Saccharomyces cerevisiae S288C: one gene and its partner. The protein of the gene in region 2 purifies or fractionates together with the protein of the main gene of each other region. This does not show direct contact. Each region holds a gene or a part of one and is shown on either strand. Other genes may lie near its edges.

Evidence for each region.
Region 1: the proteins of SXM1 (region 2) and LHP1 purify together in Saccharomyces cerevisiae (affinity purification with mass spectrometry; 4 studies listed by BioGRID, with this or other methods). This does not show direct contact.

What each region holds. Positions count from the first base shown.
Region 1 is NC_001136.10:361,767-366,049, reverse strand, and holds LHP1 (tRNA maturation protein LHP1), read right to left. Parts: upstream 2,099-4,283; coding exon 1,271-2,098; downstream 1-1,270. Other genes in the region: KNH1 (Knh1p), read left to right, coding at 176-982; 1-acylglycerol-3-phosphate O-acyltransferase SLC1, read left to right, coding at 2,467-3,378; PBP4 (Pbp4p), read left to right, coding at 3,794-4,283.
Region 2 is NC_001136.10:1,261,430-1,267,642, reverse strand, and holds SXM1 (Sxm1p), read right to left. Parts: upstream 4,320-6,213; coding exon 1,485-4,319; downstream 1-1,484. Other genes in the region: UTP5 (Utp5p), read right to left, coding at 1-172; negative cofactor 2 transcription regulator complex subunit NCB2, read left to right, coding at 745-781, 874-1,277; proteasome regulatory particle base subunit RPT3, read right to left, coding at 4,676-5,962.

The DNA of each region.
Region 1 (4,283 bases), 900 kb from region 2:
GGGACATTGGACATTATGTGCTCGTTCATGTATAATATTACATGAGGTAGTTAGTTACGTAAATTTATAAAAACGTATCGATGAAAGTTGCACAGAAGTAAAAAGTAAAGTATACAAGTATTACGTCGACTTCTTAGGTAGGTAACAATAATAAAAAATCAATTACGTAAAACGTATGCTGATAGTATTATTCTTAACATTATTTTGTTCGGTAGTGTTCCGAACAGCTTATTGTGATGTGGCCATTGTGGCTCCAGAACCCAACTCAGTTTATGATTTATCTGGTACAAGTCAGGCTGTTGTCAAAGTAAAGTGGATGCATACAGATAACACACCACAGGAAAAGGATTTTGTCAGATACACGTTTACTCTGTGTTCGGGTACCAATGCCATGATAGAAGCAATGGCTACTCTTCAAACACTCAGTGCGAGTGATCTGACAGACAACGAGTTCAATGCGATAATAGAAAACACCGTTGGGACGGACGGTGTTTACTTCATACAAGTCTTTGCGCAAACAGCTATCGGTTACACCATTCATTACACTAACAGATTTAAACTAAAAGGGATGATTGGTACAAAAGCCGCTAATCCGAGTATGATAACCATTGCACCAGAGGCACAAACAAGAATTACCACAGGAGATGTGGGTGCCACGATTGATTCTAAGAGTTTCACCGTTCCCTACAACTTACAAACAGGTGTTGTGAAATATGCTCCCATGCAACTCCAACCGGCTACTAAGGTAACAGCAAAGACATGGAAAAGGAAGTACGCGACCAGTGAGGTAACGTATTACTACACTTTAAGAAACTCCGTTGATCAACATACTACCGTAACACCAGGGTGGTCATACATAATTACAGCTGATAGTAACTATGCTACGCCGGCCCCTATGCCGGCTGATAATGGCGGTTGGTATAATCCACGCAAGAGACTCTCTCTGACTGCAAGAAAAGTTAATGCTTTGAGGCACAGATAATGAAATAATACAAAAAAAAAATTTATGAAAATGGACAAATCGATTTATTATATTCGTTAACATTTTTTCTGCTTAATTATTGTTATTCTATTTTTTTTTTTTTTTAAATGGATGAGCTGTATTCCATTTTAACCAGTAACGGTAATTTTTAATACTAATAAAAAAAGGAGACAAATAATATAGTATTAGTTGTAATTCATATTGTGTTTCTGTTTAGTACATATGTTAGTACATATATTCTTAATATGCTATGATAATGAGATACGAGAACCAGAAGAAACACAAGAATCACTCCTTGTGCTCCTCATCGTCATCGGCAATGGCAGAAGAGTCCTCTTTTGACTCTTCCTTGCCGTTTTTCTTCTTATTTTTGGGGAATTTAGGCAAGTTTTTCTTCTTATGGCCGTTAAAGGATCTTGATCTACCGCTGAAGTTTTTGGACTTCGAGGCCTCTCTCTGTAAATCAAACTGTTTTTTCGTCAAAACACTCAGTTTCTTACCTTCATATGACAAAATTTCGTTGGACTCATCGTCATTGGAATACGATTTCAAAAAAGCTTCACATTCTGGAATTGTCTTAAATTCCACCAAGACCGTACCATTAAATTTCTTGTTTCTGTGATCTCTTCTCAAACGCACTTGGTTGATTTCACCTAATTTTTTGAAAAAGGCTTCCAAGTTCTCCTGCAATTCAGGAATTTGGGAAGCTTCAACGTCCTCATGTGGGAAATTCATTACAGCCAAAGTCCGTTGGTTTTGCTCAATTCTGGCATTTCTGGCAGCAGTTAGGTCCAAAGGAACACGTCTCTTGACGTTCTCTCCATCAGCAGATACTTCCAAAATTTCAGAACTACGTAGTGCTTCGATAACCTTATCCACTGGTCTATATTTCTTCATACGGTTGAATGTGGCGATGGTGCTGATGGGGACCCATCCATCGTTTTTTTCCGCTGTTGTGCGCAAGAACCTGTCATATGGAAAGTTGAATTCAGAAAAGTAGAATTCCACTTGCTTTAAACATCTGTCCAAGACTTCTGGAGTAAATTCAATCACAGCAAATGAATTACGTCTTGATTGTGGTTTCTCTTGCTCCTCTTGTTGTGGTTTTTCAGACATTACTTCTTTGCAGATGCTACTTTAGTTCCAGTAGAACCAAATAGAACCCATTTTTTGGAAAAAGAAAAAAATACATCATAGCGATGAGATGCGACTCTGTGCTTTTGATTTGGTTGTAATTCAAAAATCTTGAGATATTGCGATGAGGTTGGGCTGAACACATTACACTAAGACGAAGACGAAAATTTTTTCACGGTCACGAGATGGATCTCGTGAATGATGATATCAATTATGCTTCCTTTGTTTTGTTGAGAATATGGTATGGTGTTCAAAATACTTATATTAGGAAGGGTTTAAGGTGAAGGGGGAATTCTTCAATAGAGAAGTTTAGTGGTTTCCCTCCGTCAGTGAATTCGAGCAAAAAAATAATGAGTGTGATAGGTAGGTTCTTGTATTACTTGAGGTCCGTGTTGGTCGTACTGGCGCTTGCAGGCTGTGGCTTTTACGGTGTAATCGCCTCTATCCTTTGCACGTTAATCGGTAAGCAACATTTGGCTCAGTGGATTACTGCGCGTTGTTTTTACCATGTCATGAAATTGATGCTTGGCCTTGACGTCAAGGTCGTTGGCGAGGAGAATTTGGCCAAGAAGCCATATATTATGATTGCCAATCACCAATCCACCTTGGATATCTTCATGTTAGGTAGGATTTTCCCCCCTGGTTGCACAGTTACTGCCAAGAAGTCTTTGAAATACGTCCCCTTTCTGGGTTGGTTCATGGCTTTGAGTGGTACATATTTCTTAGACAGATCTAAAAGGCAAGAAGCCATTGACACCTTGAATAAAGGTTTAGAAAATGTTAAGAAAAACAAGCGTGCTCTATGGGTTTTTCCTGAGGGTACCAGGTCTTACACGAGTGAGCTGACAATGTTGCCTTTCAAGAAGGGTGCTTTCCATTTGGCACAACAGGGTAAGATCCCCATTGTTCCAGTGGTTGTTTCCAATACCAGTACTTTAGTAAGTCCTAAATATGGGGTCTTCAACAGAGGCTGTATGATTGTTAGAATTTTAAAACCTATTTCAACCGAGAACTTAACAAAGGACAAAATTGGTGAATTTGCTGAAAAAGTTAGAGATCAAATGGTTGACACTTTGAAGGAGATTGGCTACTCTCCCGCCATCAACGATACAACCCTCCCACCACAAGCTATTGAGTATGCCGCTCTTCAACATGACAAGAAAGTGAACAAGAAAATCAAGAATGAGCCTGTGCCTTCTGTCAGCATTAGCAACGATGTCAATACCCATAACGAAGGTTCATCTGTAAAAAAGATGCATTAAGCCACCACCACATTTTTAGAGTAGTATATAGACCCAAAAACTGTAATTATCTTTTTAAAAAAGTAAAATGACTTACGAATGATTCTGATGATTTTATTTATTACGACTCATATACCCAGCGTAAGAAGTGATCAATAGACCGCTACTTTATTCGGAGAAAGAGAAAAGAACTTTCCATTGTAATGTATATATAACACCAGGCATGTGTCAAAAATGTGAGACTAAATAGAAAGAAAAATACGAGGAACAACAAATAATACGATCTTGTGCATATTTTTTCCCTTTTTTTTTTTAATTCTTTTTTTCTGAAATTTTTCATTTGTTCACTGTTTAATATCTATCCATTTTTGTTTCCGAATTTTCATTAACTTTATTACTTATTTACGATACAATTTTCCCTTTAATCTAGTACGAAATGACAACAACCTCAACAACCAGTGTAGATGGCAGAACCTCCTCGACTTTGAAGGCTACTTTATCTGCTTCAGGTCCAAATTCAAATGGTCCAACGCCCGCTGTGCTTCCTCAGAAGCCAAAATTAACAGGTTGGGCGCAGGCAGCTGCCAAAGCCCTTCCAAGGCAACAGCAACAGCAACAGCAGGCACGAAAAGATGATTCCGTGGCTGTACAACCTGCTAATACGAAGACTAAAACCATCGCATCTACCGCGCCGCCTGCTAATATAAAGGGTAGTTCCACCGCCAATGGATCATCCACAAATAAGAAATTTAAAAGAGCGAATAAACAACCTTACAATAGAGAAGAAGTTAGATCGTATATGCACAAATTATTTCAGAGCTATACCGCTGGTGAAAAAAGTCATTCAATGAAAACTTATAAGCAAGTACTATCAGAAACGGCAAGTGGCAGAGTTTCAACAGCCACTGACTGGGGTACTGTATCAA
Region 2 (6,213 bases):
ATTTCGAGTCCTCTAAATACAGAAAATTCTCATTCCACACTGTATCAACTCCGGAGGAAGTGGCCCTTTGAGTGGGCTGTACACCAACGCGTTGCTTGTCCAAAGCTACAGTGACATAACACAAATACTGACCTGATGGGTCATAAGCGGACTGTAGAACAGGAGAATCCATCGGTAATGAACAATTATAAGGCAAATGTGTCTTTTACCCTCTTGCTAAGCCAAGTTTAAACTATATATGCTCTGCATCTATCTTTACATACATATATCCTATCCAATACTTGTTAATTTTTTCACCTCATCGCTTCAGCTGCGAAAGATTAGAAAAAGAAATGAAAAAAAATTGGATAAAATTTTTTTGTCAAGAAGCTCATCCCCGTGTTAAATGACAATCAAAGAATAAGGGGAACTGTACAACACGTTCAACCAAAACTATTGTAAAGAAATGCCACCACTATGCAGCATAGCCTGTTCATGCGAATAGTCGCCGCAAAAATTACGATCTGGTTTAATCAGCTCGGGCTCTTATCTTTGGCGTATTCCAGTATGTGCAATTAACTCTTGCACCACTTTAAAACGCCCAGCCCGCTGCACTCTCCCTCCTATATAAATGGAAGCGGTTTTTGGTCGCGCTTTTCGCCCTCTGCTCGCCTTGTCGATTTCTATCGTGCAGAGTTACCAGTATAAGGTGGGCAAGAAATCATAACGATATTTACTAATACAGTTGTACCTATTAATTAATTGATGGCTGGAGACTCCGATAATGTGTCGCTTCCCAAGGGTATGTTAGTTATATTGTTGTTGCAAAACTCAAGCTTTGATGCGGGTACTGAGCGGTTATACTAACTTAGAGAAAACACTGAATGATCTTAGCGACCGTACAAAAGATGATATCTGAAATACTGGACCAGGATTTGATGTTTACCAAGGATGCAAGAGAAATCATCATCAACTCCGGCATAGAATTCATAATGATCCTGTCCTCGATGGCTTCCGAAATGGCGGACAACGAGGCTAAGAAAACCATAGCGCCCGAGCACGTGATCAAAGCGCTAGAAGAGTTGGAGTATAATGAGTTTATACCATTCTTAGAGGAAATATTATTGAATTTTAAGGGTTCCCAGAAGGTGAAAGAAACTAGGGATTCCAAGTTCAAGAAGTCAGGTCTCTCGGAAGAAGAGCTGCTACGACAACAAGAGGAGTTGTTTAGACAGTCAAGGTCCAGATTACACCACAATAGTGTATCTGATCCGGTTAAGTCGGAGGATTCTTCTTGAATAGAAGCTTCTAAACAAAGTAATGCTATATACGAAAATAAACCACATGGGAATATGTTAAGCGCATGCATGTATGTAATAAAAACGAAGACAAGTCCAAAAAAAAAAAAGAACGAAAAAGAAACAACTTTTATATTTGTATATTAGAGTATAAACTAATATCCTTATTTCAAACTATCACATTCCACTATTTTTTTTGTGTTCTCCTCAGTGTTGAGAAACAAATTCCAGAATTACCTGCAAGGAATCTCTCTTAGATTCATCCAGATAATTTATGATTTTTTCGTACTTACCGGCATCTTCGTTTTGCAAATTCTTGAAAAAGGTATGTACTTCCTGGAAAACATTAATTTGGTCTAACACTGTCTCCTTCATATCATCATCACATTCGATAAAGTATTCTTCTTCTTCTTCTGGGGTCAGGTCTCCTTCTAAGGATTTGCCCTCGGTAACAGCATCACGGTTTCTAATTGCCTTTGGCAATGATAATGTCAATTCCACCAGTTTATTGGTCAGGTTATTTAGTAGTGGGCTGACACTATTAGGAACTTCAGGCATCTTCAAAAGGGTTAAAATGACCAGGACTTGTAATTTGATGGCGAAGACACTGTAGAACTTTTCATTAAACCAATTGGTAAAGAAATTTATAGTAAAACCTTCATTTTCCATTATTTGTAAAGTTTCGATTGGTTTAGCAAACAAATTGGCCAGTCCCAGTTTAACGATGCATTTAGAGTCCAATCCTAGCTCATCATTAGTGGATACTTTGATGGCTTTGCTGAATAATGGAATGTCTCTCATGGACAGTGCGAAGTACATTAGAATTTGCATAACATGCTCGATGTCGTAGTCAACTTCACTTTCCAGTTTAGCAGAGAGAATTTCTAGCAGAGGTTGAACATAAGTTTGATCTTGTGGGAAGCCGGTCATCACGATGGTTTCAAAAAAAATACTGTAGGCCTCAAAATAGTCCATGGCATAAGTTTGGAAAGAATCCAATATATCATGTAACAACTCCCATATTGGTGGTGCAATTTGGTTATAAAGCAGATGCGAAGAAATAGTTAAAGCATCCAGTAAGTCGACAGCTTCCGTAATAAAAGAAATTTGTGCATGAAGTACAACAAACTTGACCACGGGAGCTAAGGACTCGATTAATGGAACTTTATTCATTGACATGACCATAGTAGTCATTGTTTGTAACAATCCACTGGCCTGGATTTCCTGCTCTTGGTCACTTGCGCTGTAGGTTTCCGATGGATTTTCTACCAATGCTTGAGCAATACGTAAAAATTGTTCGACTAGGTTTGAAGCTAAATCTTTAGCAAATGGGGATAGTTCATCTGAAAATCTCTCCACCAATGCTTCCATGACTTCAGATAAGATATCGATTTCAAAGATTTTAGACAATTTCAATAGCTTTTCCATCATACCTGGAACATGAGCAGAGACCGCTGGGTGGATTTGAGGATTGGATACAATTAAACATTTAATGGCATCTGCGGCCTCAATTTGGACTGGTAAAACGTTACTGTTTAAGAAGTTGGTATATGTTAACTCAAATAATTGTGACAATATGTTCATATCTTTAAATTCTTCCGAATACAGCGCTATCGTTTCCAAACTTCTTGCAACCAAAAACATGTACTTATCCTGCGATAACAATGGCACGATGAAGTGTCCAAAAATATTCTCCAGAACGGATGGCTCATCTATAAACGAAAACAAGTTAGACAATGTTCTCAAAGCACCCTCTTCTTTAAATGCCATGTTAATATCACTGGAATTGGCATCGAATCTAGTAAAAATATCATTAATGAACGGTAAAATATTGTTCAGTTTCTCAGGACGTTTGGACCCAATCAAGAATATGAAATCTGCTGAAGCAGCATCTGGCGTAGAGCCTTCTCTGTTAATGTCAAAATAACGCCTGGTATATTCCTCTTGGTCATCTTCTAATAATTCGATGGATTGTTCATTAGCACACAAACATGGGAAGATGACGTTCTCAAAAATAATTTGTAAATGTGGCTCAATTAAAGGATAAAGTTGATCTATTGTAACACATTTCTCTAGGAATGAAATTAAGAAATACAAAGAGGAATCGGATAACCATAGTGAATTATTACCCCAAGCTTCAATATCCTTAAAAAATTCTCGAAGAATTATAGGAACAATAGTATTGAAGATATAGTCGATAAATTCCTTGGTGATGGCCTTTGTAATTTTGTTGTATCTTTGCAGGAATCTGTTTAAGTTACCGAACCCCCATTTGTTCACTTTAACCCTTTTGTCTAGGGACCTATCTGCGGGATCCAGTTCCATTACTTCGACTGGTAATGGTTTGGAACATAAATACAAATGTAGTTGCACCCATGACATAATTCTTTCAGGTTGGCTGAAGTATTGAGGCAAGTTGTTCAAACATGCATACTTGAATGACTTCAAAATGAGGTACAATATTTCATTAGATCTGTAATCCGTTTGACTACCGATATTAGAAGCTATCCCTTCCACAATAGGGAAAAGTTCTTCGATAACAGAATCAATATAATCTCTCGACCCAACCATGTCCCACCTATGAGCTTTACAAAGTTGGAACAGTAGTAGTAACCCGGGATAAATGTACGATGCGTCACCGCTCGATAATAAATTCTTGATAATAGGTGCTAAATCCCAATCTTCCTGACCAACAAGTATCCCATTTATGGTTTCAGTCAGGATAGGCCTAATGTGGTTATTTTCACAGTTTTTAACTAAAGTCTCGATTAACCTTTCCTTGATCGAAAGCTTTTCGTCAGCTTTTATACCATCTTCTCTCTTAGTATCCCATGATCTGTGAATCTTATTCTTCAAATAAATAGCAGAAGAAAGACGAACATTTAGCGCAAAATTATCATCAGACACTATATTAAGCAGAAAAGAAGTAAACCCAGGTTGCTTCTGGAACTCAAATAACTGCTGTTCTGCCTCTTTGATAATTTTTGCATCAGCAACCATAGTCTGCTCAATGCAGCTCAAAATTGCCTGTTCTTGTACCATTTCCTTTTTTGATTTATCTCCTTTGTTGTAGACGGGCGCAATGTTAAATGTTTATGACACAAATCGAATAGCAAATCTACACTGGGATGAAGCAGAGACTGCGTACTTGATATTTTGGTTGTACTTTATTGATTGAGATACTTGTTGATAGGTACTCATCTTACCATCTCATTTGGAAAAAAAAATATCACAGAAAAAAAAAAGTGAAAAACTTGGCTAGCGACGTCCGGTTGCGCGCGGAATAACGCTAAGAAACGTGATAAAAAAGTGGCGTCTGTATTTATTTCATTTAGTGTTGTCTAGATAGAAATGTACGTAATACTTTATGTAGACCTACGTTGAAGCATATATGGTAATCATTTGTAGAAGTCGAATTTATCGACGGTATTATCTGTCTTGACTTGAGTGGCGTAAGCTTCTTCCAGATCGCTTTGTAAGATGACATATCTGTTTTTCCTCACTGCTCTTAAACCAGCTTCCTGCATGATCGCTGCAATAACAGCACCTGATAGAGAGTCGTTACGAATAATAAGCGAGTCTAAGTCCGCTTCTGGGGCAAGGGACATCTTACTGGCAATGGTACCGAAAATCAAACGACGTTCACGCCTATCACGAAGTGAGGGAAACTCAATCTTTCTATCTAATCTGCCTGGTCTCAGCAAAGCTGGGTCCAATGTGTCTGCCCTGTTTGTAGCCATGATGACTTTAACGTTGGTGGATTGATCGAAACCATCCATTTGTGTCAACAACTCAATCAGGATACGCTGTACTTCACGATCGGAACCCGTTTGAGCATCAAAACGCTTTGTGGCAATGGAATCTACCTCATCTATGAATATAATGGATGGAGCATTTTCCCTGGCGAGTCTAAAGACGTCACGAACCATTCTTGGACCTTCACCAAGATATTTGTGAACAAATTCGGAGCCATTAACTCTTATGAATGCAGCTTTTGTACTATTGGCGACGGCTTTAACAAGCATCGTCTTACCGGTACCTGGTGGACCATATAATAGAACACCCCTAGGAGGGTCAATACCGATTTGCTCGTATAGATCAGCCTGAACTAATGGCAGCTCTACGGCTTCCCTGATTTCTTGCTTTTGCATATCTAACCCACCAACATCTGCATAAGTGACGTCAGGTTTTTCGTTTTCGCCCATTACGGATATGCTAGAGTCGGAATCAGGTGGTAGGATGTCAACTAAAGCATTTGAATGACGATGTAAAGCTACAGACATAGATGGCTTTAATAGTTCACGGTCTAGGGTTGATAATATTCTAACGACATAACTCATACCTGTGGTACTAGAAACAATACCTGTGTTCTGATCAATAGGTTCTAAGAATTGCCCGATAACTAATGGAACCGACTGGATTCTCTTTACTTCTTCTTGAGCTCTCTTCAATTCACGTTTCAAATGGCGTTGTTCGTCCTTAATATAGTCTTCTTGCAAAGTCAGCAGTTCATACTCTTTTTCTAATTTCTTCAATTTGAAATATATATCAGAATTCACATTAGACAGGGCACTGTTATTGTTGACTGTACCATTGAGTTGAGCCAACAATGATGCGTATGATTTGACGGCTGGTTTTTCTTCGACTGCCTTTTCGACAGGTGTCACAATACCTAGTTCCTCCATTCTTGTTGTGGTTTTTACTTTATAAATACTTGAATTTTATCCGATTGCCTCTTGTATAACTTATGAGTGAAAGGAAATAGGCAGAATTGGTTTGTCCACACACTGAGAATCTGAGCCCTATTACTTCCTATATTCATGGCTATACCCAATTACTGCAGATTTACTATTTTGCCACCTTACTTTCAGGAAAAATATGAAAGGGCACATCGCGCGCTACGAAGAGCCAAACATTAGAGAAATTTTGATTATAA